4 linked regions of the Lepisosteus oculatus genome follow. The protein of the gene in region 3 interacts with the protein of the main gene of each other region in a biochemical or structural test. Links are inferred from orthologs where the notes say so. Each region holds a gene or a part of one and is shown on either strand. Other genes may lie near its edges.

The links.
Region 1: of the proteins of prostaglandin E synthase 3 (region 3) and casp7, one has a biochemical effect on the other in vitro, tested with the Homo sapiens proteins (2 studies listed by BioGRID and IntAct). The link is inferred for Lepisosteus oculatus from reciprocal best matches to the Homo sapiens genes PTGES3 and CASP7.
Region 2: of the proteins of prostaglandin E synthase 3 (region 3) and caspase-3-like, one has a biochemical effect on the other in vitro, tested with the Homo sapiens proteins (2 studies listed by BioGRID and IntAct). The link is inferred for Lepisosteus oculatus from reciprocal best matches to the Homo sapiens genes PTGES3 and CASP3.
Region 4: the proteins of prostaglandin E synthase 3 (region 3) and tert form a complex in vitro, tested with the Homo sapiens proteins (2 studies listed by BioGRID). The link is inferred for Lepisosteus oculatus from reciprocal best matches to the Homo sapiens genes PTGES3 and TERT.

What each region holds. Positions count from the first base shown.
Region 1 is NC_090699.1:38,479,818-38,487,647, forward strand, and holds the start of casp7 (caspase-7), read right to left. Parts: upstream 3,017-7,830; 5' UTR 2,870-3,016; intron 434-2,869; coding exon 327-433; intron 1-326. Other genes in the region: nrap (nebulin-related-anchoring protein), read left to right, coding at 4,265-4,336, 4,845-4,939, 5,355-5,442, 7,163-7,267. UniProt on the Homo sapiens protein: Thiol protease involved in different programmed cell death processes, such as apoptosis, pyroptosis or granzyme-mediated programmed cell death, by proteolytically cleaving target proteins.
Region 2 is NC_090696.1:75,474,795-75,482,288, forward strand, and holds the start of caspase-3-like, read right to left. Parts: upstream 3,011-7,494; 5' UTR 2,796-3,010; intron 2,169-2,795; exon of another isoform or gene 1,887-2,168; intron 223-1,886; 5' UTR 218-222; coding exon 144-217; intron 1-143. Other genes in the region: primpol (DNA-directed primase/polymerase protein), read left to right, coding at 4,254-4,436, 4,543-4,637, 5,283-5,472, 5,891-6,038, 6,395-6,685, 6,856-7,018. UniProt on the Homo sapiens protein: Thiol protease that acts as a major effector caspase involved in the execution phase of apoptosis. Following cleavage and activation by initiator caspases (CASP8, CASP9 and/or CASP10), mediates execution of apoptosis by catalyzing cleavage of many proteins.
Region 3 is NC_090696.1:20,892,884-20,900,423, reverse strand, and holds the start of prostaglandin E synthase 3, read left to right. Parts: upstream 1-4,525; 5' UTR 4,526-4,750; coding exon 4,751-4,752; intron 4,753-7,540. Other genes in the region: naca (nascent polypeptide-associated complex subunit alpha), read left to right, coding at 161-175. UniProt on the Homo sapiens protein: Cytosolic prostaglandin synthase that catalyzes the oxidoreduction of prostaglandin endoperoxide H2 (PGH2) to prostaglandin E2 (PGE2).
Region 4 is NC_090705.1:36,252,403-36,259,875, forward strand, and holds the start of tert (telomerase reverse transcriptase), read right to left. Parts: upstream 3,014-7,473; 5' UTR 2,866-3,013; coding exon 2,632-2,865; intron 1,956-2,631; coding exon 797-1,955; intron 359-796; coding exon 169-358; intron 1-168. Other genes in the region: lipid scramblase CLPTM1L, read right to left, coding at 5,361-5,445, 5,842-5,957, 6,521-6,565, 6,962-7,017, 7,108-7,142, 7,229-7,311. UniProt on the Homo sapiens protein: Telomerase is a ribonucleoprotein enzyme essential for the replication of chromosome termini in most eukaryotes. Active in progenitor and cancer cells. Inactive, or very low activity, in normal somatic cells.

The sequences.
Region 1 (7,830 bases), on a different chromosome or scaffold from region 3:
GTCTTTTCGCATACCCCAGCTTGCTCTCCATGAGACACACAGACAGGGAGAGAGCCTGGGGTCAGAGCGCAGGGTCTGCCATTGTATGGCGCCCCTGAAGCAGTTGGGGTTAAGGGCCTTGCTCAGGAGCCCAACGGAGTAGGATTCCTCTGCCGGCTGCGGGATACTGCGGGATACTGTATGAACCGGCAACCTTCCAGCCACAGGGGCAGATCCTTAGCCACAGAGCCACCCCTCCGCCCCAATGTGGGCTATGATAGGAAAACAACTGCAAATGCACACTTTTAGGAAGCCATCCCACCTAAAACAGGATTTTTAACACTTACTTTCCAAATAGAAAAAATCTTCCTTTTCGGTCTGGTTTGGCATCCGTTGCATCACCTGAAGGCTCCATGCTCTCTTCTACCTCAGGAACAACAGATTTGTCTGCCATCTGTGTGGCAAGAAACATCTTGCATAAAAATTTAAGTGGAACGTATAAACAGGCACATAACTAAAATGAAACCGTGTGCAAACTGAGCCTATGATCTTAATAAAAAATAACGATGCCAGTATTGTATTTCTAAAGAAATTAAGCTAACAGAAGATATGTTCAGTACACACTTTGGACTGAACATGTGCAAAGCATATCTGCAGGAAAGGAGAGTCCATCCATTAGTTAAACCTCAAATTCACAACGAACAATACAGATCCCATCCTGGCCACGGAACATGGGAATCTGGTCTATCCTTGTTAAGATGTAGCTTGTTCATACTGTATATGGCAGCATTCCTCAAGATGGCTTGTTGTAGATGCTGTGCGAGCATGAGGTGACAGTGCCACTTCTGCTTGTTACCCAGGCCTGCTTTTCTCCAAATAAGAGCTGTAACTGTATTCTCTGTATTAAAGGGAAACTGCAACACTATTTTATTTCAGTGTGATAAAGAATCAGCACTGATGAGTGGATTTTAGACCACATTGAAAGTAAAATGTACACAGTAACATGTAAAACCTCTAATTAAAATCACAAAATTAACAACATTTCGAGGTATTCGCAGCACCATATTTCCGTCATATCAACTGCATGCTGTGTTAACAAGTAAGTAGATCACAGAACTTTTCTGTAGTGAAATGTCTTCTGCTCAACCTATACTTATATGCTTATACATCGCATTACATTCGTCAGTGACTAGTGAGCAGGAAGGGCAGATTTTACATAATAATTCTCGCAAACTCTTGCTCTCGTCCGTGGTGAGCCCAGTGGTTTGCAACAACATGGCGACTATCCAGTACTTTAACAAAGTTCACTATATTGTTCTTAATCCAAAATTTGACATTTTTTGTGATACTGTCAATTCATTTTGTTATTGAGATTTCATAACTGGTCTGAGAAATTGAGATTGCAGTTCCCCTTCTAGACATGCGTGTTCAAAGAGGACATGGGAACCAACCATGAGTGTCTGTGCCTTAATGTCCAAGCATGAATGGACATTAAGGCACAGACACGCTATGAAAAGTATCCAGTCTAGAGGCTTGGAGGCAGCATCACTGTTTGCAGAAGATATTGTCTTTGCCTTATCTGACTGTGATCTCCGACACAAGACTGAACATTTCACTGCTGAGCGTGAAGCAGCTCAGATCAGCATCTCAAAGTTGGAGGTCATCATCCTCTCCCATTAAAAAGGAGATTGCTCTTTTCTTGTGAGAGGCAAGAAGCTGTCCTTAGCGAAGGAGTTCAGGTACCTAGGGGGCTTGCTACTTCGTAATAACAAGTGGCAGTGAGGACTGACAGATGGATGCATTGTCAGCATTGTTGAGGGCACAATCCCAGTTTGTGATGGTGAAGCAGGAACTCTGCCGATAAAGATCTGCAGGATTATCTAAGTCCCCATCCTCCCCTATGATCAAGAACATAGGGCAATGCACAAAAGGAGGTTTGGTAGCCAAGCTGATGGGCTTCCTTGCTGAGACAGCGTCACAGTCAAAGGAGACAGAAGCGAATTTATCCTCCACATTGAGAAGAGCCAGCAGAAGAAGCAATAGACAAATGTGAATCAGTGCAGTTTGAAACAGATATGGGTCCTACAGAAAGAGAGATGAGCTTTATCCTCAAACATTCAGAATGAATGATGGACTCCCTCTACACAGCAGTCAATGCGTTGCAATTTGCCTCTAGGATGGACAGATGTATTGCCTAACCAAACAGTTATAGAAAATAGATTTTTCAGCTTAAAAAATTTAATGTTTCCCTTTCCAATCTCATTTGCTCTATATATGCTCTCAATAATGGTTCTATAATACTAAATGAGATTTAGTATTCCACTTTAATTATTTGAAATAACTTTTAATTATACTATATAATCGTGTACAAAGACAACGTCTAGCTCAGCATAATGTTCAGGTGTATAAATTGACAGTAGCTTCTTAAATACAAGCGGCAGTAATGTAACATTAAGGTGTTTACAATTGAAGAAGTTGGTTATTATTTACATACATGTAGAAATGTTAGTACTTCAATGTACTTAAAAGAAGGGCTATTCACACTAAAGTTATAAAGGCCCTATTTTTTCCCAATCCCTATTCTTATCTTAATTAACTTACAACAGAATTTTCGGTCCTGATCAAACTATCTGTTAAAATGCTACAGCAACTTCGAAACACACTTTGTAGGTTTACTTCGTGGGAGAAAAGAAAACATTTGAGATGTTTTAATTGTGATATCTTACACGTGTCTTTAATGTTCATTCATAATGACACACTGATTTTCGTCTCGTCTAGTTAACATTAGTATTATAAAATAAAGCATTTTAAGATGAATCTACAAGAGCAGAGCTACGTAAAAATGTTACTTGATTTAAAAAAAATCAAAATGGTAGTTTGTCATACTTACTTTTTCTAAATTTTGCAGCTGCTTTTTTCTTTGCAGTTCTTTAATCTTCCAGTCTATATTGAGCGTTTTCTCTTTCGTTTTCGCGTAAGTTAACTGATAGAGCAGTTACAACGAAACAAACAGGAAGTAATGAAAGTATTTTTTAGTTTCGACCAGCTTCCCAATAAGGAAGCGGGTTTATTTAAAGGTCCTGCCTTCTATTACGAAAGACGTGAGAATTTAACTCAAACGTTCATGCACCATTCATGTAAAACATCAACCATAAAGATGGTGTAAGAAATGTATAATTATTAGCATGTTTTCAGTCATTCTGTTTTCAGTGTTTGGATCAGTAAGCTAAAATAAATAGGTAGTCTAACATGATAATTATTATACATTAGGACTATTTAAAAAGGGGTTCATACGGTAGCTGAAAGGCAATGTGCATCAATTTGATTATACTGTATACAGTATGTTCAGTGGATTTCACCTTTGCCTACCACACTTAACACTAATTTCAGAAAGGAACAGAAAACAATTGTTTTGGGGTGTGACTGAAAAGACAGACTTACAGCAGATACTGAGGTACAATGGCTGTCTCAAAATTGCTTTATGAAATTAAAGCCATGTGGCCTTTCAATATAATACAACTGTCATTCTTAGGTTATTTGTTAAAAAATAGATTAAGTACTGTACATGCCAGTTCAAAGTCTGACTCATAGGACAATAGTATGAGGGTTTATTCTCTGGTGTAAAAGTTTCCGCAGATAAGGACTATCAAAATTCATCCAAAAAGTCTACACAAGGCGATTAGATTTGTTCCTGTTTTCTGAATTTCCTGAATTCTGTTCACAAAATGGTGAAAACAATTAACTCTGAAACAAAAAGCTTAGAAAAACTTTAAACATTTAATGAAACAGTGAGAAGAAAATGTGGTGAAGTGTACAAAATTGCAATGCTTCTACTTGCTTAAAGCAAAGGTTTTGAAGACTTTAAGAACAAAAAATTCAGTGTCAGCCAGACAAAGACAACTTGACATATGTTACACCTAGTTTAGTTATTGCAGCATCAGGTGCATAGAAGTCATATTTGTAATGTGCATATTGTTATAACATAGCTTATTACTGAGTTCATTCATGTATTTTAGGAGGGAGACAATCTGGGTCAGGCACCAAAATTACCTCCTGACTCAATTCAGTACAAAAACAACATATTACATCTCTGGTCACCTAGCCATCTCAGCCAGTGAGCAGTCGTCCCAACTGAAGTGGGAGGACCTTAGATACATTAAAGTAAGGGACAGTCTGTCACATTCTAGAGAGCTAAGTATAACACAAGCGTCCACGGAGTTTCCCTGCTACTTCTGTACACTACTCATTTTATTTTTTAAAATTATTTATACAATATTTTTTCAACATGAATGTCCAGCCTTGTGCCAGGTGTGGCTATATTGTTTACCCAGCTGAGAAAATCAATTGCATTGACAAGGTAAGGTTATATTTCATATGGTTAATATTCATATGACAAAGGATATATAGTGACTGTAGAGTGATTTTTATAACGAATCAATTCCAGTACAGTTTTGATACTTGTGAACGAACCCTTGTGACTTGTGAGGGAAGTAAAATGTTCAAACACAAGAAATATTGAATTAAATTAACAAGAACAGAACAGGAATTTATAGCACCATTGTGTAAATGTATTGTGGATCTGTCATCAGCCAAATTACAGAATGCGTTCCCTTCCACTATTGCTCTAACTATTCAGTAGCCATCTTCTGATGTTTGCAAGGTTGTTATAAGTTGTGTTGGGATGTATACTGAAAGCCATAAACACAAGTGAGTACTGGATCCAATATATAGTTTAATACTTACCAACATCCAATCTTAAAAAAGTATGTAATATTTTCAAAATAAAAATTAGAGTGCTGCTGATAAGTTCAATGCCATCTAGAGTACTGAAAATTTTGCTTTGCTTTCCTGTTTGACTTATATAGACCTGGCATAAAGCCTGCTTTCACTGCGAAATATGTAAGATGATCCTAACTACAAATAATTTTGTGAGCCATCAGAAAAAGCCCTACTGCCAAGTGTGAGTACTTAAAGCATGTGTGTATTTATTTGCATTATTACTACTTTTATTGAAATGTATGTTACTGTATGCTGATTTTGAAAAAAGCAAAGCTTTTGTATTATTTCCTCAATAGACAGTAAAACGGACAATTACAAAATCCCCTTATATTCTTTTATCTTGACATGTAGATATCTATTAGCAATAATAGTAATGTTTTAACATTGTGAATGACTATGGCAATGTTATCGTTGTGTATCTTCCATGCATATACTTATTTTATACAAAATAACACAGTATCTCCTTCAGAACAATCATAGCTCATTACTAAATAACTCCATGTTTAAAGTATATGTGTCACCAGTAGTATATGACTATTTCATCTGTATATGTGTAAATTCATCTGTACATCTGTAAAATCTGATGATGTCTACAGGCACAACCCCAAGAACAACAATTTCACTAGTGTATATGAGACACCCATCAACTTAAATGCAAAGAAGCAATCTGAAGCAGTCAGTGAGGTGAGTGATATTGAAAACAAAAATAAAAGAAGGTGCTATGGGTAATTTTCTCCACAGTTATGATTTAACCTTTATCAGGAATGTTCTATAAGCAGATAAAAAGATGTATTTGTCCGATACTTCAAAGGTGCAGTCAGAATTTCAATACAGGCATTTAAAAAAAACAGGATGTCGAGAATGTCACTGTTTCCAAATGTACTGTAGGTGAGTGGCTAGCCTAAAAATAGCTTCAAGAGTTGTGCTGATGATGTTATATTAATTAAAACTGGTAGAATGTAGTAATACAGTAAAATTAGGAGCCAATTACAGTACACAACAAGATAATATAATGCAAAGTAAGATGGCATAGTAAAGTACTAAAAATAGATCATGAAAATTATTAAAATAGGTATTCTTTGTGTACAAGCTTTCATAGTTCATATGAAGTTCAGGATGAGTCCTATGTTCTATGAGACTTCAGGTCTGGAATGAGTTGTGTTCCTATTTATTCTATTTTTGTGTCATGACTGCGACATGACACCTCACTCTCCCTCCCAGTTTATGAGTTTACCAGTTAAAATTATATCCAGGGTAAGCTGCTCACCTCCTGCTTTCTCCAGACACCTCCTGTTCCTCTCAATCACAGCCCTGCTTTCAGTCTACACTATCGAGTGTGTGCTAACTTCTATACAATCGTTGTTTTTAGAGACACTTCTTTGACAGTAAAATCAGTCAAATTGGTACTGTACTGTATACCAAAAGCACACTAAAGCAGTGGCTCTGTGGCTAAGTATCTGCACCTGTGGCTGGACGGTTGCCGGTTCGTATCCTGCATCCGGCAGAGAAATCCTACTCCGTTGGGCCCCTGATCAAGGCCCTTAAACCCAACTGCTCCAGGGGCGACGTATACTGTAAATGGCTGACCCCAAGCTTCTCTCCCTGTCTGTGTGTCTCATGGAGAGCAAGCTGGGTTATGTGAAAAGACAAATTCCTAATAAAAGAAATTGTATATGCTCAAAGTGATCTTAAAAAAATAATGAGAGGATTCAATTGCCAAATCTGCTGTATACCTTTCTGGAACAGGATGTTTTTATACCTTCTGTTCCTGAACTACAATCAGACCAGGTTTGGGGAAAGTCCTATACAGTGTGTGTATGAATTCCTAGGCCGTTAATAAAATGTGATTGTGACAGTCAGCATGCAAAAGGACAGGATATCAAATATCCCCTTAGAATGGATCTGTTTTTGAGGGTGCAGTATTTACACTTCCTCTGGTACATATGTTTACATTTCATACACTGCACTCATTCACAGTTCGCAGGTGAGAGCTCATTTGTTTTAGGGTTTTCTAAAATTGTAAAGGAATGATTCAGTTTTATGTAGTGTATTAAAAGTATAAAAAGGTCAGTAGTGCCGTGGAAGATGCTTTGTCCACAGTTCAGTGTAAATTAAAAAATTGTCAATAGGTTATTGCATTGAAAAATAAATGAAGCTCCACAGATGTCTGGAACAGTAAACATTCATTACTTGGATCACCCTAGAAGTCCTCAATGTTCAGTATAGATTCAGAAAACTGTTTAAGTTAGAAAAGTTTATATTTTGGTCTGTTACTCGATATGCCTTAAAATTATCAATCCAATTGAACTTTGCTATAAATTACCAATTCTTTTGATATCTTTTCAAAACTTTGATACTTCCTGTAACTGCTGATGTGATAAATGAAATGGTAAATTTTCTTTAGCTCAAATACCGAGAAGAAGGAGAGAAGTATAAGTCAGTTTTTCACTGGGATGTGAAGTCCAGGGAGGTGGAACATGCTCGTAAAATCAGCCATCTTGCAAGTCAGGTAATAACCCCTCAATTGTAGTTGAATATTTAAGCAGAAGTAAACTAAGAAGTCTAATTTTAAAATGAAAAAAGTCACATATATATTAAATTACTATATTCTGTTGATTTCTAATTGTCTCTGAAGTGGTAAATAAATTACATAAATTACTCTAGAAAAGTCCAGTTTTGGGCAGTACTGCTGCCTTGCAATGCTCTGGCGCTGGCTTCAGTTCCTGGGGCACTATCTTCATGGAGTTAGTACAGTATGTTGTCCCCATTTCTGCCGGGTTTTCTCTCACAACACAAAGACAAGCAGGTAAGTTTGTATCTCTGTGTGCCATGAGATGGACTAGCCTCCTGTCTAGGGTGTGTCCTGTCTTGCCCCCATTGCTTACTTGGAGTAAGCTCCCCCGTGACCTTGTACTAGATAAGGTGTGGTTAGAAAATGATGGGTTGAAGGAAGGCCAGTTTTGAAAAAACAGAATTGTTGATTCCAAATTAGGTGTGCATAAAATACAAATAATGAAAAAGAAAGACTCACAGCCAAACCTATCTACAGTAATTGAACCAGGACTGATTTAT
Region 2 (7,494 bases), about 55 Mb from region 3:
TTCAAAGAACACCGAACTACATAAATAACTCGCGTATAAGGGTCTCTTCACACGTGACAAGAGTCGTGACAGTACTGTTCAAAGGGCACCCGGTGTTTCACGCAGCGCAACGGCTTTGCAGACTGGACGGAAGAAAGTCTTACTGGGGGGCACTGGCCGGCTTGGCGTCCACAGCATCTCCTCCGGCGCCTCGAACGGGTTCCGTCGCCTCAGACATCGTCCCTAGACCGAGGGAAACAAGCGGACCACAAAGCTCACCTGGGGCTCCGCTCAGTCACTGGTTTCGCCAGTGGCAGCTCACACACAGACACACATACATACTGTACAGACACACACACGCATGCATGCATACACATACACATACACATACACATACACATACGCCTGCCTGCCTGCCTGCCTGCCTGCCTGCCTGCCTGCCTGCCTGCCTGCCTGCTCTGTGTTGCTAACCGCCTGCTCGGCCAATAGCAGCCCGCGCTGCCAAGGGCCGGGCTCGATGACGTCATCGCCTGTCAAGAGCAGGCTGGAGCCCGTAACTCCCTCGAGCCCGCGAGGCGATGACCTCACACACGCCGGCCGGCGGACAAAAGAACCCCCTCCACCCACCCTCCAGGAGTTTTAAAAATTTACACAGCCTGATGAAATACGAAGAAATATCACCCCCCCCATTAGTTTGTGTACTACTGCAGGGATCCTAACTGTTTTGGCTTTAAGACAAAAAAGGATGAATTTATGAACAGTATAACTGTATAGTAGTTCAGGTGGGCAGCTGCGTCAGCATGCGTAGGCTGCAAAGGAACAAGTAATAGGTTTATTCCATGCTGAAAAAAAAGAAGAAAGAGAACACAACGTTTCGGCCGTGGAGCCTTCTTCAGGTGTAAGGAAGAAGGCTCACACCAAGAGAGGGCTCCACAGCTGAAACGTTGTGTTTTCTTTCTTCTCTTTTCAGCATGGAATAAACCTATTACTTGTTCCTTAACTGTACAGTATAATGCTAGATGCAATGTAGGCATTATGGCCTGGTTTACTGTCACACATTACTGGGCCTGTTCATGGTCGGGTTGAGCTGGGGGAAAAGAAGCCCCGTTTTCCAGCAAAATATCACAATTAAGGAAGGATGATACTGTAATGTCCCAGAGGGGTTCCAACAGAAATTCATGAGGAACCGGGGCACACACAAACGTTTTCCATGGCCTCGTCATTTCACACATGACAACAAATTGGTATTTCCCTCAAAACTTTAAAAAAAAACCCAGAGAAAAAAAAATTAGACTCAAAGTTAAACGAAAAAGAAATAATATAATTACAACTTTGTGATGTCAAATCCTGCTTTTCTAAAAAAAGATGTTAAAATCCAAGGGAATTTTTATATTTGTGTGGGACAAGAAGGAAAACGTACATTTCCACCAGGAAAGGATTTTGAAGACAATTCTTAGAATTCAACAGAAGGATGCACATTTATTCGTTTATGTTTGCTTTTGTTTGAATTATTTGGGCATCTTGACAATTAAGCAAAAGCATTAGACATTAGTTTAATAGGCAGAGGTAGGTATTGCCCTTGAGGTAGAATTACATCGCACCGTGACTCATTGAAATTTGAGTGCCTACAGCAGGGATGTCCAGCCTGGACTCGGGAGGGTTTATATAGTATGTGTAGAAGCACCTGAAGAACTCTGATCAGCTTGATTGATTGATCCGATCTAGCCAAATCATTCTAATAATATACTGATATTTTCTCTGTGAAAAGCTGTGCTGGAATTAAAACCTACTTGACACACCAGCCGTGGCATAGCTTAGTCAGCAGCAAGGTAGTGCAAAACAGTCATCTTCCTATTCAAACACTGACTCCTCTAAAAGCTCACTTCAAGTTTAAACATCCTGCCAGAACAAAACGTTACTTGCAAATCTGAAGAATTCTTTTTATTTCCAAAGTTTGTCCCCTGATGAACACAGTGTTTTTGAACACGAGCAAGATATCCCCTTCGATGGAGGAATTATTATTTAAAAAAAAACAAGTTCAGGAAGTGAGCGATATGTTCGAGGAAAACCTAAAACTTACAGGAAACATTGTACCCACCCACGAGTGAATCAAGTGCTTTAAAACAGCCACATCAAAACACAGTGGAAACGTCAAATAATTCAAAATCACGGCTTTATCTTTCTACTTGGTAAGCCAGTTTATTTTTTTCTCGTTTTGACAGATGTGCAATTAAAGCAAGAGGCGTCCGGCTGTTTGTCTGTGGTCTGTATATTCTTTAATACAAATCAAATATTGCAATCTTGAACGTGAGGGAGATTTTTTTTTTTTAAAAAAAGGACCGAAATACCCTTTAAATGCTCCGGTTAGGAAAGACCAAACGTCCACTGAATGACACTGACCAAACAAGTCAATACCAGCTGTTAGCAGCTCATTCTCGACATGAAATACCTGTGCAATTTCAAGCCCAAGTCTGCCGATATAATAACAGCTTCATGGCAGAGACTCCGTCTATATCTTGACAAGTTTGTAAACAACAGTTGAATATTTTCACCGTCCACATCCAGGCGACTCGAACTCGTGTTTTGGTATGAAACAAAATAATCGATCACTTTTCCGAAGACCTTTTTTTTTTCCGGTAACGAAAGAAACTTGTATCACAAGTGCATATGGTTTTACATCAAAACTCGGGACGACGAGGGAATGAATATAACTTAAACTGACACGGGGTGGTTGTTAATAATAATAATAAAAACAAATAATAAAAATACGAACCACAATTTCCAGCTAGTAATAAGCAAAATAAAGAAAGACTTACGTTTGCGGCTCTCTGCTCCACACTGCTCTTGTCAAAAACTTAAATCTTCTGCGGGTTCACTTTCTTTTTTTTTCCCCGTTTCAAAGGTTGGGTCGCAGTTTGAATATCTGTTTTTTTTTTTATATGGCTCACAACACCTCCCCGCTTTTTGAAACGGGCCGTGAAACTAACACACACACACATACAACAACAAAAGACCGCAAAGGAGAAGGACCGCCCTACAAGCACCGTCGAGTTTTTGTTTCTTTTGTGTAGTTTTAAGAGCCACGATGTGGTGGTATTGAGCTCCACCCTTCGCGTTTTTTTTTACGTAAAATTTTTTAAAAAAACCGACATATAAAAACGAATTAAAAAAAAAAACTACATCTCCCAGCCGCCGGGCCACGAAACGGAAACTGTGCAAAAGGGCGGCAACTTTAAGGAAAAGGAGACACAAACATTGCAGGCAGCGTCTGTGGGTTAATTTGTTACCCAGAGAGAGTTTGCAGTGTGTTATTATTATTATTAATAATAATAGCCGAAATTAAAAAAAAAACTTGGGCCCTCGGTAAGTACAGTATGTGTGTATTTACTATACCTTTCTGTGAACGCACATACGAGACGTGACGAGGAGACCTAATATTTATATATAAAATGATATAATTGATATAAATGTAAAGGAAAAATGATCGTCAGACGCTTGATATCTTCTTATGATGAGGTCTAGATAAACCTTAAAGTCGGGTGTCGTCTTTTCGGGGTGTTTTATATTCTTGTATCGGTCCCTTTGCATTTGACAGTGTATTTAGCCAACTTGTTTGAATTGCTTAATTGGACATTATTTATTCTTCAAGCAAGAATTGTAAGGCTTCCGTTTTTTAAATAATGCCTCTTCAGAGCTCAATAGGCGGACAGGAGTTTACAGTGCGACCCAGCCTAACTGTGAGCTGTCGTCCATCTTCAAAACATCTTCAAAACGTAAAAGGAGGCACGCCTGCGTTTCATCTGTCTTGCCGTTTTCTTCCAGGTCAAGGTGACCTGTGCTGTTAATCCAGGTCAGTGTAACTATCTGTGAAGTGTTTGTGTTTATATACTATGGGAGTGGTGGAAATCATTCATTTTTTTTCTCCTCCCTGTGGGGAAAAAAAAATATTTCTATGACCAGTATTAGTTACCCGGCGTCCTTGTCAAATTTCCCATTGGCGTTTACTCCTCATGGCCTCCTAATAACCTCCCTCTCTGAACTGGCTCCCTCACTCTGCTCTCCTCCCCACTGAGAGCTGGGGTGTGGGGAGCGGACTGGCGCCTCATCCAGGTGGGGCTGCACACTGCTGGGGGTGGAGGGGATCCCCATGACCTGGGGAAGAGGGCAGATGGAGGAGTTTATCACCCAGGTTGATGTGCTGCGCGGGAGCTGATCGTCTCCTGTTCTCGGCCGCTCTCCAGGGTGTCTCCCCGGCGCCGCCCTGCTGGTGAGGGATGATCAGGCAGGAGTGGGGCGAAAGGGTGAGGAGGGTGGCGTGCCGGGCCGAGTGGTACCAGCACTGGCCCCTGTCCTCGCCGTACAAGCCCAGGCTGTCCAGGCCCTGGCAGCCGTCTACTCTGTGGCGGGTTTTCCCCCGCCAGGGCCTGGCCTTCGCTTTCGCCAAGAGCCGCGCGGAGGTGAGGGGCCGGGGTCGGCGGGGCCGTTTCGTCTGGGGGGGGGAGTCGGAGCGCGATCTGCTGTGAAACAGGGCGTGAAGCTTCCGTGTGCTTCTGCCCCCCGAAGGGTGTCCACGTGTTCGCGCTGGAGAACGGCCCCACCGAGGCCGGGCAGAGGATCTACCTGGTGACCACGTATGCCGAGCTCTGGCACTACTACAGGTGAGTCCCGTGACGGGAGAGGGGGGGGGCGTCCGGTCTGGGGAGCCCGCGTAGCTGCTGTGGGATAACTGCTCCAGGCACGGCGGGGAATGAAGCCAGGGTGGCGACTTCATCAGCGCGACGGGCTGGCGTGTTGCCGACTGCCCCATCCCTCTGTGTAAACTGGCGGCTCCTTCTCCGAGTTCTGGATGTCCTTCCGCGTACTTCCCGCTGGTGTCCTGCGCTCTTTGTTTCACTGATGGCGGAGAAGTAGTCGTATAACCAGACGCCTAATTGTACACCTGTGACGATCTGGACCTTGCTCAGATATGAATACAACTTTGAGGGCAATATGATCAAGTCCCGAAAAAACAAAGATGCCTAATTATTATTCCCTTAAAACAGTCATGATGCTGGTAAAAAAAATTCTCTACACTGTTTTCAAGAGCAGTCTTTGTTAGCCACATACAGTAGATCGAAGTTCTAATATTTTGTGAAGCGGCCTACTTTTATTTCATGTACTGTATCTAGTGTGTGAATATATAGCAAATAAATTCAAGGGACTACAACTTATTGTTCAAAAGCTTTCATGTCACATTACACACTCAGAGCTGTTTGCACAAATTGGTCTGCTGCCAGCACAGCGTGTTTTGGTTTTCACCCCAGGACTTACAGGCGGTCTCTAATGCACTGCTATGAGGTCATCCCCGAAGGTGCAGTGTGCAAGCTGTACTTCGATTTGGAGTTCCACAGGCCCTCGAACGAAGGTCGGGATGGAAAACAGATGGTGGCGTTTTTTATTCAGGTATGGAGCCAGCGGTCTTCACGGCGTAGGAGCAGCACAGACGTATTACAGGTCCAGTTCACAAAAGGTTTCTTAATTCAGAGTGTGTGAGCGAAAGTTACAGCGTTTCATTATCCTCTTATGTTTCTAACCGAGGAGAGAAGGGTCTGAAACCCTTGCGCTGAGCTGTGCAGAGTCACTTCACTAGGGCTGTAGTGTATGCAAATGGTGTGGAAAGACAGGAAGACAGGGTAATAAGATGCCCACGGTACTCTGGCAGCTATGAGGAGTGCCTGATTTTCATGCATGTTTGTGAAGTCAAAAAGCCCCATTGAGATGAAGTCCTTGCGGGAAGCTGCAGCAGCAGTGGCAAGAGAAGACACCCCAGGGCTTTGGCTGCGGGCTCCCGGACCCTGGATGTGAGCATGTCCCAGACAAGACCTTCTTTGCACTGATTTTAAACTGATCTGTGGTTTATCTTGTGTCCTAGTATGTATGTCTGAAATTGGAAGAGGAATATGGAATTAAAATCTCCAGGGATGATGTTCTGAATTTGGATTCCAGCACAGAAGAAAAGTTCAGTCGACATCTAATATTCCTTGTTCCGAATGCAGCTTTTAAAGACAATATACACGTTGGTATGTATTTAGATAATTTCTGGTGATTTGTTTGTATTGCAGCCTCAGATAATTAATGACCAAATACCCTGTTAACTTGGCTTATAATTCTGTGAAAATGTAATGCAAAATCGCCTCAAGTTTTGGGTCACACCTGTAAAGAATTGTAGCGCTGTGTGAACTTCTAAAAAAACAAGACAAGCCCAGCTTACACCATTATTCTGCTAATTCTCTGGTGTCGTGTGTCTGCCTGTCTCATTAGGTCTTTAGATCACTTAACTCCTTTTTTTTTTTTTTTTTAGTTTTTGAATTATAAAGCAGTGTGACGTTTCTCGGTGTGATATTACGTTCTTACTGGTCTCATTTTCCACTTGAAGGCCATTTTGTCCACAAGGTGTTAAAGCCAGCGCTGGAGGAGCTGAGAAGGAGAAGACACCGTCTGGTGACAGAAACCCACCTGGAGAGCAATGGACAGCCTGCAAGCAGCCAATCCCCTCTTCCGTCTTTTGGACCTGGGCAGGAACCGGAGGCTGAGAGGCTGAGGAATCCATATCCCAAGAGACAGAGAACCGGGGAGGGTCCAACCTCCCCATCTCCTCAGGCTGGGGGCCTGCTGTTTCTCTTCGTGAAAGACAGAGATGGACAGGATCAGCTCTTTGTTGATGTCGGTATGAATAACATTGTTCGGCTTCCGTTTGCAAACACCGACGGCTTTTTCTGGGTCTTACACGCGGCGCTCTGAAGTATCTATCAGTTTACAGACTGTGACTGCCTTATGAATTGCATACCCCTCACTTTGAAGAGTTACTCATCTATTGCTGTCCTCCTTCCCTGTTAGGAGTGTACACAAAGAACAGAAATTTCCGCCTGTACAAATCTTCCAAAGCTGGGAAGAACGTTGCCTTCAGTGTAGCGGAGGACAACACATTTGTCCCCAGGCCTCAGAAGCACCTGTCTCACGAAGAACAAATATTTCTCGCCTCCCTCGTCAGCAATGTTCGGTACTGCTCTTCGTAATTCTTTGGTGAAATCAAAGACACTTGCATCCAGTTGGGTTACAAATGAGAGGAAGTCATTTATCCCATTCAGTCCCAGTCAGGCAGTGGTTTCTAGTAGCTTACTGATCCAAGGATCTCCTTCGGCTGCTTTCTTGAAAGTTCCCAGGGAATCGGCTTTAATCCTGGCTGTTCAGTCAGAAATCATTAGGGATTTCTGACCATTCTTTTTAAGTGTGCCACAAGATTTTGTGTGTCACAGAGTGAAAGGATATGTTTTGTTTGTAAAGTTTTTGAAAAGCGTACAAAATAGTTTGTAGGCAACTCTAATCCCAGTGTCATTCAAAATGTGATGTCAGGTTTCACAATGGTGTAGCTACTGGCCAAGCTAAAAGAATAAACTAGTTCTTTCAGAAGTCTGCTTACATATATGAAATATATGAAAATGACTTTAAAGTAGAAAACAATAAAAGGTTCAGTCT
Region 3 (7,540 bases):
CTGCAGTCTCCCTTGGCTTCTGGGATGCTAGCGATGGCCAGACCTTTGTTCTTCCAAGTCCTGCTGAAGCCAGGCCTCCTGCGCTGAGAAGCAGCTCTGACAGCTGCCCGCCCAGGGTTTTGTTCGCTAACGTCGCTGTTATTCTGGTCTTTCCCCCCAGGAGCTGACGATGTAAGAGTCCCGAGAGAGAGCGAGAGGAGGCGACAGGCTGCGATGGATCGAGATCTTGCTGTTCGATTACTGAATGGCATTTGTACAATTTTTACCAGGGAGTTTAATAAAGTTATGAACTTGAGGTGGAACCATTCTTTTTTTGCCCTGATTTTTTCTGGTTTCAGGGTTATTTTTCTATAACTGGTATTCTAGAGTGCTGGTATTTATTGGCAATAAAGTGTTTTCCATTGCTCTAAAGTGCCCGGAAGTAGGTTTTCTCCTTTCTTACAAGTTAAAAAGGTGGAATATAGAAACCATCTCTAGAAACATGAAATTTGTTTCCCAAAATCCAGTTTGCAGCCACTTTTTAGCCACAGATGCCTTCGAGAGACAAAGGTGGAGTGAAAAACAGCTGCCTGCCGTCTCCTCTGAAGGACGGAGCTCAAGGATGATCGCAAACTTGTTGGGGAGCTGGGAGGAGTCCCACAGCAGAGCGCAGGAGGCTTGAACTGCCTCTTGGTCGAATCCAAACCAGCCCCCTGCAGCTCCATGAGGTGGCCCCCCCGACGACACCACAATAAAAACCGCCGCATAAGTTAATTTGTGCTGCTGAAAGGAGCATGTGTGCTGCTTTCGTTGCCGAGATACAACGCCTTCTTTTCTACGGTGTGCGGTCATTCAGCCCCTACAACAGTGCAGGAGAGCTGAAACAATCCTTTTAGGGCCGCGTTTGTGCTGCTGAAAGTAACTTTCCTGCTGTTTTCATTCTGTGTAAGCACGCGACTGTCCACATAAGGAAGTGTACAGCTGGTAGCACTGTAATAGATCATGTAGTTTTAGGATATCAACACCTGCAGTTTGCTATCTCTCATTCTGTCTGGGGTGGGTGTATATTTCACGTTTGAATAACGGTAGTCTCTGAGCATTTGTGTGATGAGTAAGAGTTTAGGGAGAGATGTAATATTAAAATAAGTCTTGCCGTTTTATTCTTAAAATGAGAACGATTGTGTTTTCTTAAAGCTTTAGCTACGTATTTGAGGTTAGGAAGTGCAACTTACTGTATTAAAATGACCATCATTGTACTATTTTATAATGAGCAAACAATTAAACATGGAAACAGAGCAGGAAACTGCATTATACAGTATGTTTTGTTGAGAGCACTATGTACACGGTTGACCTTGGTAGTTCATAACCAATCTGCAAAACAAGGTTAGTATCATGGATACAGACTTCAGTAATGTTTGAAAATATTTTAACAAATTTTGAAGAGAATATCTCCCCAAGTTGCTCGCCAGCTTTTCTTTGGTTTCACCTCTGCAAAATCAAATGGCTCCCTAGTGACTTGAAGCTAAAGTTAATGTCCTGCTTGTTTGGTCAGTCTGCACTTCCTGTTGCATGACTTGGGTAACCATGTGTGGTTACCCTAGAGCTCGCCCGGCCACGCTGTGTTCTTCAAGGGGTGACACCCAGGCACTGATGGCTGCAATCCAGCTCCAGGGATCAGCCAGAGCGTCATGGCTTCACTGTGCCCTACACCAGCTACTCACAGGGTAGCCTTCCATCTTCAGTGTTTCAGCAGCCCTGAACATCACACCCACACAACTCTTGTTGGCCACACCCATTTATCCAGCCACGCCTCCATCCAAAGACTAATACTCCTGTTCTGAGCCAGTGACCTGCTCAGCCATAGGTGCCACACCTGGAAAACTGCACATTGTTTTCAATAAAAGGGTAGTTACTCTGTCATTCCCTGTAATAGGTGAATCTAAAGAATCGGCTATTGCTTTCTCCTCTGCTCAAAGTGCAGCAGCAGCATAAATAGCCTCATCCTTGCTGTTGCTGCCTGGATGTTATCACACCTCCGCCTTGCCAAGCAAGTTCTCAGAGTCTTGGCTTCAGACGGGAAAGCTCAAGCCCCGGTGCTGTCAGGCAGGGGAAGCTGAATAGGCCATTACTGGAGCAGAGTCTTCAGGTTCCAAGCTGCCAGCCTGCACTGCTTTCACAAATATCATGAGTGTGAATGTGGATGGCATGGTGGCACCGTGGGTAGCAATACTGCCTTACTGCGCAGCGCGCAGCGGCCCTGAGTTCGGCTTTGGACCGGGGGTGCTGTCTGTCTGGTCTGGTTTCCTCCCACAGTCCGAGTACAGGCTGGTGGGTTCATTAGCGTCTGTGAAAACTGACCCGGCTGTGAGTGTGTGAATGTGTCTGTGTGCCCTGTGATGGACTGGTGTCCCATCCAGGGTGTATCCCACCTCGTGCCTGTTGCTTGCCGGGATGAGCTCCGTCTCTGCCGTGAGGAAAGCGGAAGATTGATAGATGGATGAACGTGCTTCCTCGGAAGTGCAAAATCAGAGAGGGGATCTTTTTACTTGGATGCAGTTTTGAAGAATGTCGGGTGAGCACCGGCCGTCGGGAAACCTCTTGCAAATGACATTGCAGGAGTCTGCTCTCCTGCGGTTCTGGGTTTTCTGTTGGGCAGACACAGGCGAAAGGCTCTCCACTGTGCCATCCATCTCCAAATCCTTCGTTTTTAAATAAGGCTCAAGATTCGAATTTCATTTGCCCTATACAACAAGTGTAGTGGAATGCTTACTCGTTCAGCTGCACCCAGTAACAATAGAGAGAAAAAAAATATCCGCACAAATGACAAACAGACATGGACAATAAATTTTGACAATAGACATTATAATACAGCCAAGACAGGACATAGTGCAAACAGTGCAGTGCCTTAAAGTGAAGGTGCTAATGTGTGCAGGTGCTAATTTGAGCTGTTTAAGATGTGTCCTATTTAAAATATGCATACGTGTATAAAATGCATGGCGTTTCAATTTTAGAATATTTAAAATATGCATATAAACTTAGTTACTTATGAATCAGGCTTAGAAAATCACAATTGCATTTTTGTTTGAAAATCATGTTTTAAGAACCTGGCAGAAGACAGTGCGAGTCTCACGGCCTAGACTGATACAAGAAGGTGAGTAATTGATGTTGTCCTGGTGTCCGGGTCAAATTTCCCCCCTCGGCCCTTACCGTGGCCTCCAAATTTTCCCCATGTACGATTGGCTTGCACTTGCCCTGCGATGGACTGCGATGGACTGCCGTCCTGTCCAGGGCGTACCCTGCCTTGCGCTCGTTGCTTGCCGGGTAGGCTCCGGCTTCCCGCGACACCGTTTGGTATAAAGCGGGTTGGCAAACGACATGACTAAATCCTACAGACGTTTCCACAGGTAGTCCACTAGGCGGCGATGTTGACCTGTTTTTCCGGACTACAGAATCGCCGTGTAGCCGTTGGCGTGATTGATTATATGATCGCTCTTCCTTTCTACGAGGTAGAACAATTTGACCTCATTTGACAGTTTTTGGAAACTGATCACCGTTGAAAAGAAAATCTCTTTCGACCGCTGTATGTTCTAGGCTAATATGAGTCTACAGAAGTGGGTTACGAAAACAAACATATAGATTATTTTACATCAAAAAGGATGTTGCTGCTTTTGAACTCGTTTTGAGACGTAAGGAAATGCGCCGCATCGACAGCGCAAATATTTTACAGATATACAAATATGTTGAACAGAGAAGTCACCAGGGGGACCTGCTTCAAGCATTCAAACTCTTTAAAGGCTCTGACAGAGTCAACCCAGCGACCTTCCTCAGAATCAACAGTGCAACTCAAACCAGAGGACACAAGTCCTGCTAAAACCGAGAGCAGAAGGCTCGTCTCTGTGCGAAGAGTGGTGGGAGCGTGGAGCAAGCTAAGCAGCCATGTTGCTGAAGCCAATTCCCTGGCTTCTTCCAAGACAGGACTGGGTGAGAATCCCAGATTAATTGCATGCTAATAACCAAACGGTAAACGTTCTTTATGGTCAAATATTAAAATATATATTAAAACCGACCTTTTTTCTAGGGACTGTGTATGATTGCCCTGTAGTTTATAGTGTATGCTATTGTTTTTTTTTCTTTTACCCTTTATTGTATTTTAATTAGTTTTTTTCATCACTATATACAGCGCCCTTTGGTTTGGAAAGGCTCTTTATTTAAACAGTTATTATTATTATTATTATTATTATTATTATTATTATTATTATTATTATTATTATTATACGCTTTATAGTCTTTGGTAAGTTAAAAACTACAGTTCCCAGAAAACCCAGCTCTAAACAACAGTCGCCATGGTAATACAAATTAAAACGAGATATTTGGTATGAGATATTCACCATCTCTTAATTGAGTAACACGTTTTGGATGCGAATCGGAACCAAACTGGCGATCCCAGGACAGGGAATGTTTTAGATGAACTTTGCCCTCTCCGTTTCCATGGTGCCCAGGCGGCCAGGGGCGGGAGACCGCACGAGACGAGATGGGCCGGTGGAAGCTCTAGAAACGTCTAGGCGCGCGGCTGCTGCGTCATTGCGCGAGAACGAGGAGGAGAGACACGCGAGGAGAAGGGAGATCAGCTCGGAGCTTCGGCGGGTTTTTATTTTTAATCGCTCGTTTTTTTACTTCGTTCAGAGTAAATACACCTTTCTGTCAGATAACGAGAAACAAACAGCAGAGCAGCACTCCGGAGAGTAGGAAACATCTGAATAAGATAACCAAGATGTAAGTCGATGGGGGTTGGAATGGACTGAGGGGAGAAAGGGGCGAATCACTTACGGCGGTTTTTATTTTTTTAATTCTTTTCAGGGGTGCCTAGAAAAATTTGGACCAGAGTAAGGTTCCCTGTTCCACACACACACACTCACGTTACCCAGTCGTCTCTCAGGGGCAGCGGGCAAGGCAGAGAGCAGGCGAGCGCGGTATAGGCCGCGCTTCACGTTGAGCGCCGGGGTGTCTCTCGGGCGCTTGAAAACGTAGCTTTTGAAAAGGTGCGACTGGTCGTGTGCCCGCCTGCAACCTATTTAGGGGGCGTGGAGGTTGTGTGAAAGGGTATTTTGGAGAAATACTGGGCTCATTTGTTCGATATTGTCCGGATCTGTAGCAGGTAGCGGGAGGCTCGACCTCCGCGCTGTAGGAGCATGTCTGCTCGCTGGGGAGAAAGGAGAGGGGGGAATACAGACACGCTCAGCGGGACGGGATGCAAACGGAGGTGGTCGCTAACAGCTTCTTTTGGAGGACGTATTCTGCATTTATTTAATTATGCTTGTGGCTTGATGGCTCGGGGGCCGTGCATTTCCTATCAAATTAAGGTTTTTCTTGCGCTGGGGTAGCAACGCAACGAACTGCACCCGCCCCTCGTGTGGCTGGGGGTGAGATACTTTTAGGTCAGCTCCGATGTTGGGGTAATCGCGCTGTAATCGCCCCAGATCATCAGGGTAGATCTTTCTGGGGGGGTATATGCCTCCCAAGTCCCGCAACGTGCCGTGGTGTTTTTACACGAAAGTGAAAGTGCCGCGATGCACGCCGGGGATAATGAATGAGAAGATGTCTGCCTGCCGAGCGGGGTTTTGTGTGCCGATATTTATTTTCCGTTGCGATTTCATAGAATGAAATCTCTGCTAGTCTCATTGTTTGCGTCTGTGTGCTCTGAATATTTGGTTGTATTTACATTAAACGTACTTGTTCGATTGTGTAGTAATTTACCAGTTGCGCCTGAATGGCTTAAAAAAAATAAAGATAAAACAGGACGGTTTCGACCTTGAGAACCGCTAAAAAATAGCCTGGCGTGAACATGGTTGTGCTGATGGAGTACCCAGCAGCTGGGACTGAAGTCTTCGGGCTGCACAGTCAGTTCATGGCCACCGCCTGACAAATGCGTCTCGCTTGTTGATGGCGGCCCGGTCCGGCCCGGTCCACGTCGTCTGCCTTGGGGGGAGGGGGGGGGGGTCACATGACGAGCCGGGGTGTGCGCTGCCCGGCCCCTTTGAACCCGAGCTCAGGGGTAATAGCAGGTAAATATGAGCTGTGGGTGAGGTGAGCGTCCGTCGCCTGTAACTACAGAACTACAGCTTGCCATGATGACCTGCTGTTGCTCCTGTGCTGCAGCCCATCCGTGACACAGCTCTTCTCCCAGCTCACTCGAGGCCGCACCAGCCCTCCACGGGGGCGTCGTCCAGACATGGGCACGGTGGGCTGGCCGCTATCAAAAGTCAGGAAAACTTTTAAGTGGCATAGGAGACGTCCAAGCAGGGAGCTGCGGCAGCAGGCATAGGCTGCAAAGGAACAGGTAAAGGTTTATTACAGGCTGAGAGGAGAAGGAAAGATACGCGGTGGTTCCCGGCTGAGCACCCGAAGAAGGCTCCACAGCTGAAACGTTGTCTCTTTTCTTTTCCTTTCAGCATAGAATAAACTTTACCTGTTCCTTGAAGTAGTGTAGTGTTTTTGCTGGTATTCAATACTTTGATTGTAAGTTCACTTGAGCAGGTAGTGGGTGAGTGCGTTTGCCTGACTGTGGAAGTTGGTAGGCTGTTTTTAGGCTACCTGTTGTTGGGTTAAGAAGGTGCGATGTCCTGCAGTGAACTCCCCGGGGAAAGAGCGGAGCTCCTTCCCGGAGGAGAGGAGTCCTTGGAAACGTTGGAAGAGGTGGTTCCGGTGTGCTGTCGAAAGTCTTGCAGAGCTTGAAGAAGTGTGGCCACATAGTAATGAGCACGGAAGGGGGTCGAGGAGAAGTGAACTGGGTGGAGTTCTGGTGTTTTATCCAGCCGTGTGTTTTCAGCCTGCACTGGATTTGCACATCTGGGCTGTGGCTTCTTGAAAGCTTTTCTGTCGGATTAACTTTACATTGAGCTCTAATTTTGAAAGCCCTGGTTCCTGGTTCACAATTGAATATCACTCACGCACTCTGATCTTGCAAAGGTAAACCTATCTGCCTTCAGAGCATCCATTTTCTAACTGCTTTGTCCAATTCAGGGAGCTGGATCCTGTTCTGGCAAGTAATGGGCACAAGGCAGAGTACTGCCTAGATGGGATACCAATCCGTCACACACACTCACACCAGGGTCAGTTTTCCCAGAAGCCAATTAACCTACCACACAGGGAGCACCCTAGTTTCAGAAGTGAACGCATGCCCCCAGGGTTGTGAGGTTGTGAGGCAGGAGTGCAAACCACCGTGCTGCCCCATTACAGAGCGGTTTGAGCCATTTCAGTTTTCACTTGCTGTAAGGTGGTTGTGCGTAAGCTGGGATCTGGAACAGCACATCGACTTGAAACCCTGCTTTGCAAATGTTTTGCTTACACATGGTGTGTGAAGTCATTTTCTTTTATAACCTCTGCTGTTGTGTTCAAGCCCACCAGCTGCTAGAGTGTAAGCAGTGTTGTCTTCTCCCGTTGCTTTATGCCACTCGTGGATGAGTGCAAACCACTAATTACGTGGCCTCCTGCCTGTCAGAATGAACTCCTCAATCCTCTGCCCCACACACGCATCCACACACGTGGTTGGCCATAATTCTAG
Region 4 (7,473 bases), on a different chromosome or scaffold from region 3:
TTCTGTCAATTTCCGCAACTCCAAATAACTGAAAACAGTATACGGCTTTTGCATTTTCTGGATTTGAATAAATCATCATATCCATAAATCTTTCACATTAAAGAGCATCTGAAATGAAAGCAGTAAGCCAAGCAATATCTGTGATAATGGAAAAAAAAAAAACTGTACCTTATAGCCATGTCCCACAGTCTTCTCCAGATCTTCTTTTTAAAGAACATAAGCATATTTTTTTGCCAGGAGCTTTCAGTGACATAGAACGATGTCCTTACTAGCACAATAACCAAGGTGCCCAAAACCCAAGTTAAAAAACTTGCCAGGATCTTCTCACGGTATCGGTGCTCAGTCGCAGGACAGGGAGCTAAGGCAGGAAGGTTATTGTTATTCATTGATGTTAAAATTCACTCAAGTGTTTTGCTGTCAGTCATGACGGATCAATTCATCAAAATGACAACAAAAACATTTAATCGATATCCAAAATTAGAATACTTTAGTTTCCTAAGAACGTAAATAGTGATATGTTTTTTAAGGCTCAGCATACATTACAGTTGCATATTAGTCTTCCAGTAACACAAGTGCTGAACTAATCAAAATGTTAAATACCTTTAGGTTCTCACTCATAACTACAGTCATTAGCAACAGTATTACTTTTTTGTATTTGTATTGCCTAAGTCTTATATGGTAGCTCTTTTTACTATAATACTAATGGACAAATAAAACTGCCAGAGTAACATTTTAACATTTCTTTTGGAGATTTTAGTAAAGAAAATGTTGCCATGAAAACTGTAAAGTTTCTTACCAGATTTATTTAGCTTAAGCCAGTCACAGTCCTGCACTCTCATCTTCCAAAGGACTTCCTGAAGAGACAGTCTGTCAAACTTCCCCATGGAAATTAATTTTTTAACGTTTATTAAAAATCTATTGAAATTGTGTTGTGAACCCCACAGCTGAAATGGAATAATGTATTTTAAGCACTCCCTTATGAACATATAAACCTGTGTGGGTTTGGTTTCTTTTGAAAGAAGACCTTGGAAATCACTGGGCTCTTTTGAGTCCAAACTTCCAGTTGCCTTTGCCACTGTGTTTTGACCTGTGGGTTCTTCTGAGCAAGTCCTTTCTAAGAAAAGGTGAAATGGACATTTTCTATGATTTTTAAGCAACTGGCTAAATGTGCCAAGCATGCTTTTGAAACGCTTGGGGATTTTTTTCCTGCCATCAAATCCCTTTCTGCATAAAAATATGTCCTTCACAAGATCTTCTGCATTAGAGTTTATCTGCTTCACAGGATCAGCCCTGGACTGTACTTTCGGTTGTTTGCTCAGGACAGAAGACTTGAAGCTTGAATACAACATGCTTTGGGCCTTGAAAAATACAGCTGAAACAGGGGCTTTTTTTGCCTTTTGCTTTCTCTCCTCTATAGTATTGCACCCTGGCTCTTTCTTGGCCTTCTTGGTTGGAGGCCCCTCACTGTCAGTTTTGCTGATGTTTTGGCGGGGACCTGGGGCACCTCGCTTTTTCTGGTGTTTCCTCATCCTCTTCTGCGACTTCCTACGGTTTCTATAGAAATTTACTTTAGATTTTGCCAGCTGCAAGAGCACATTAAATCGGTTGTGCAGTGACCTAAGCCTCACACATTTAAATGAGGAGTAATTATCCCCAGTGATGAAGTGATCGTATACAGGGATCCCAGCAACCTGGTAAAGACAAGAAGGGGCTACTGTTGTGAAGAGAGCACACGACTCCAAGAGATGCATCATAACAGCAGTTCCAATCCTTTGGAGTAGGAGATCCCACAGCGGACCGCTGCTGATAGCAGAGGTGCAGTGGTTACTTTGTTGAGAAAAAACGGAAGCACAGTTTTCACCGACGCCCTTCAGTCCATGTGCCAGAACATTTCTTTTTTTCTTCTGCATGATCTTCTTCAGAATGATGGAGACCAGTTCTTTCAGTGTACAAAGCTGATAAAAGGATTGGAAAAATAAAATGCAGAAAAATTAAACAATTGCTATCGATTATTTTATATATAATAATATACTAATTAAAAATGGTTTCGACTCTAGCCTTCCTACACAAGTATACGCTTGTTTTCCAAAGCCTTTAAAAGCACTTCCACTGACACTGTTTTGAGCCCTCCAGAATAGTGTTTCATTGTATCAATATTGGTAAGAAAACGATATTATGATAACACATCTTAATGATTTATCGTGTGAGGTTAATTTTGTAACACAGAACTGAAATAATCTTCGTGCCATTTAAACCCAAGGACTCCGACACTTCAAATAATACATTTATTATAATGCTATGGAGAACTAACCTGCTGTACCTGATTGTTGATTTCTTTTCTAATTCTCGAAATTAATCCACAATGAGTGCAGGACCAGTAATAACACTAGTCTTTTTTGTGTGCATTTTTAGAAATTCAAATACAGGTTTGAAACGTGATTTTCCTTTTTTAAACGTACATGTAGTTTTCTCTCATCATGTATTTATTGCACAGCCTTTGCATGCTATATATATGTATAAAATACTACTAAATAAGGTAACAAATTCTTACATACCGTACATAGTTACTTAAAGCCATTAATTGAGCAGCTGCTTATTTGAAGGATACGCAAGAATTCATTCAATCAATACCTGTTCATAACTGGTGGGCTGTGCCAAAGCCTTGCTGTCGGCGGAAGTGCAAACAATGATGCTTGTAATGAATTTTTTGTATTTCGCGCTGTCAGTGCTTAACACCAGAGGCTGTCTGTTGTCCTCTTTGAAACGAATGCCGGCGATGTATTCCTCCAATGTCAGCACAGATGAATACACAGATCTTAGGATACGCAACACTGGGTCAAAAAGCTTGATATTCTCCCTAGACATCGTAGTACCACGCACCAAAACACTGCAATCGACAGCTGCTCTCTACCGATCCACTTAATCCATCACCGCTTCTTCAAATCTGGTCAAGCTGCTCCTTCCGAAATCTCTAACTTCTCCGGAGGCCGCAGTTCAGAAATACCTGTCTTCTTTTTCAACCCAATCAAAACAGGATCTTTTCCCCTCGCAATTCTATAGTCACTTGTAATTGGTCAACATAGGAACCGGCCTGCAGACACCGACATTGACATCTGCCGTATAACCACTTACAAAAGCGGCGCACGTTTTGGTAGACCGATTAAATAGATTTCGTTCTGATTTTATTGTATACTCACCTGATTCCGAATATATGGAACAGCAGTTTGGGGAAATTGCTGCTACACTGTAGAATTTATGCTTAATAATGATGCACCCGAATGTGTAAATAGAAATCTTGTGCATTAAAAACAATTCAGACGAATGCATTGACATAAAAAATGCACCTTTTTATTCAGCTCTTCTGATAATTGACATTCAAAATTAATAGTCATCCCTAGAATTCAGTGATTATGGACAATAACGTCTTTTTGATTTATAAAACTGCGGTACTCATGTACAATAATCATTTATGGAAAGAGTTCACCAATAAGACATACAGTAAGAACTTGAAAAAATGCTTTGGTGCTTAAAAAGTTTATTTTTATCTGTTAATTTCACGTTTGAGTGATTTCTGTGCTGTTTTCCTGTCAATACTACAAGTATTTGAAAAAAATTCTTGCTTTAATTTTAATTTACCGTGTATACTATACATCTGAATTCACTGTGGCCGAACGATATTCCTTAGTTTAATGTCCTAACCCAGGGATTTGAGACTCAGACTGGAAGGCCTGGTGCTTTCTAGTTATGGTTCCACCTGAGGTGTTTCATAGTTGGTTTATTTACAGTATCTACAAATTGTAATACTTAGTAATACTTATAAAAGGCTTTAATGTGTTTGTGAAGTAACTGTACCTTTAACAAAATTACTACTGTAAAACCTGCTGTAAAAGACCTTAAATATTCCATCTATAGCAATGAAAATAGATGTTATTTGTAATTTATCGCTCAAGTTGGAACAAAAGGACACTAGGCCCTCCAAGAACTGTGTTTCAGATTCATGTTCTAAGCTAACCTTAAATGAATTCAATCTTTTAGTGAGTCCAACCATGAACCTATTTAAGATAAATAATGAAACAGAAAACACAAGACACTAGTGGAAACGAATAGGAAGCCTTTAAAATTTCCAAATAAGACTAAAAAGAAGAGGGATGTTTTTATTCATAAGATTGTGGGAGTTGGGAACTTGTACTCAGCAATATTACTGAAGATGCAGTTCAATAGCAATTCCAAAACACTGTAAAACATGATAAATTAAAAACAACCCCCTGCCATATTTAAAGCAAATTTCATTTTTTTAATGAAAAGGACAATAGAGAAAAAATGACAAGCAAAAAATTGATATGAATCATAGATACATCTTGAAATTATTCAAGTCAGGTCCAGTGCAGCACAATCTGTTCCCAGACATGATCAGACATCAATTATCATTCACGTCATTGGATCTTTTTTAATAGTAGCCCACATGGTGAAATAAGTACTGTTACAACATTGTGGTAATTAACTATTGGTAATGGTGAGAACTTAAAAAATGTATTATTAAGATCAATTTAAAATGAAAAATGAAAAAAGATCCTATAAAGATAAACAATTGCTACCCAAAAGAAAAAAACATTGTTCCCTTACCAGCCTTCCAAAATACAATATTCTAGAACAGAGATCTGAAACACTGTTAAATGTTAAAATGCATCTCCATCTAACTTCATGTCCAGAATGGTAAACAAACATGTTGCCTTGATTGTTTTACTGACATAAATAAGTAGCAATTGTTGTGGTTTTTTTTTTGGTCTTGAAACAGTTTTCCTGTTTTGTACACAATAAAATAATGGAAAATAAAGTATTTATTCCTGAAGCATTTCAATTGGGTAGCAATTTGACCTTTAATTTTTCCCACCCAAACAAAAATATTCTTTACGAAGGTTTTGGCACCAATTAATTTCAAATACTATGTGAAGTGAAAAGGTAAAGAATGAGTAGAATATGTTTCTTTTTTGTGCAATACCTGCTGCTGTATATTAACCTTTATGATTTTCCAGATCGAGTGAATTTAATATCCCTGAAAGGTCTATAGAAGCTTGCCTAATGCACCTCATGCTAGGGGGAGATGAGCAGGCAGGATTAACTTCATGCTTCTCTATAGGCTTTGGCTATCGATAGCATCTCTTGAGTTACAGGTAGGCCACTAGTTAGAGAAACACGTGCATTATGGGATGCAGCCCCATCCTTCCCAACAGGCACATTACTGGAAATGTCAGCAACACTGCAGTAGTTAACCTGCACTTTGATTTAGAAACACGTTCTACCATTGCATATACATGTGAGGCATCAAGGCCAGGGAGTTCAACCCAATTTTCAGAGAATGTTTAGTCTTTATGTGGCTTTCCTTTAGGTTTTTCATCATAAGAGACACCGTATTCATTGATTCGACTTTTATCCACAGGGTAAAGCCTGCAAAAAACAAAAATAAATAACATAAATAAATATATAACATAAATAAATAATGTAAAAGGTACACAACAACATATTCTGTTACTGCATTCTCCATCAGGACAGTATCTCGAGAAAACATTTATCTGTCTCCTCAACCAGGTGGTTTGTATATATTCAGGACATTTTTACATTCATTTTTGAAAAAATAATCGTAACCAATTTCTCTAAACTATAATTCAATGTGTGACTGTTAAAGGGTAATCAACACATGGTGTACTGTTTAATACCTAGATTAAAACAGTTTTAATGTAACTATGAATTGTTTTTGTAAGGTCACAAAATGCTAAACCTTTACATTTCATTTTAAGAACTAAAAACTAAAATATCTTAGTGAACACTTTCTGGATAGCTTACCATCTTTGATAAAGATAGATAAGGAATACCACATCGTCTCTGAAGCAGGCAAGCCGGTGGGATGTTGGCATGGTAATAATGAAAGCAAACACATCGTCAATGAAGGTGTTGAATGCCTGGAAAAACAGAAAGGTAGGAGGTGTCCTGTAATTACCATCAGCAGAAGACTGAGCACATTCTCTTTCCCATTTTCATTGCCATTAAACTGATCCCTTCTATCAGTTTAGTGTTTGGATTTCTTTATTGAACGCCATTACAATTTTCTGGACCTGTGCTTGCCGTTCAGTAACAGTAATTGCAGTATTGTCAGTGAGAACTACGTCACTCCTTCGACTGATGCTAACTGTCCTGTAGGCACAATCTGACCTTCATCAACATGACATTTCAGAAGAAACAGCACAGTCCTCATCCCTCCCATGTTAGTATGATAGTTATAACAGTAAAATAACGCAAATAACAATTCAAAATTTCAACTTTGTGGGGAGCATTTACAAGATTTTCTTTTAAAAACTGAAAATAAACACCTTTATAACTTCTAACTTTTACTCATTTTTACCTTTTACAGATAACTTAAGTGTTCATGTGAAAATAAGATTCTTAACCAACTACCAAGATTCTTAAGAGAATATTTATCATCAAAAACAGTTTTAAAATTCTACCAGCTATAAAATTAACTCACTTTGTACATGAATGCCTTCCATGGCAAATGTGCCACCGATTTTAACTGAAAACAGAAAGAAAGTTAAACATAGACTTTAAAGTCACAAACCAAAGTTTTTATCACAATTCCTTTTAAATTGGAATTAAGCACATTTTTGGAACTTTCTCACATTTATGTAAAAAGATGTTTAAGCAGAAGAAATAAAAATGACAAATTCCAGCAGGAGGACACCTCAAGGTATGCAAAGTGAAATTCAACTGAAAGCAAGACTAATGAAACACAAATGAAACTACTAACATCTTGCTTAAATACACTTAACGTTACACAGCGAAAACGAATGAGACACACATAAGTCTTTCTTGTTTTCAGTGTTTCGTCCCAATCTAGGTCTGTAATTTTTCAGCAAGGAAAACGTACTGCTTATAAATGGAATACTAAAGGGTTTTTGTAAATACTAACCTTATAATTTACAAAAAGTTGAGGTAGCATGAACAGGAATCCAAATGCATAAACCCCTGCCAAAATACAAAGAAAAGTAGTATAAATGTTAAATACCTTAATTAATCACAGTGACTGACTTAGGCATGATGCTGAACAGAACTTACCATTGACAAGACTGTTGATCAGCCATGAGTACCAACTGTAAAAACAAAATAAAAACCATAAGATTAAAAATATCAAAAATAAATTATGGAATTACAAAAAAATTAAGATGCATCCCCTTACCTTTTATATTTCACATAGATCAAAGAGTAAACAGCTCCTCCAATACACAAAGGATACAGCAAGTAGGATAAATATTTCATTGCCTGAAGAAAGAATGTGAAATTTGTACTTGTCGTATTCCATTCGACATTAAAAGGTGCTTTATGCTTGGTCTCTATTAAATAGGTTCTATTTTATTAAAATATTTTTTTTCTGGCTTTTCTGAATTCTAAAGCTGTTTTAAGTGTGCAGAGGAAGAGGAGATT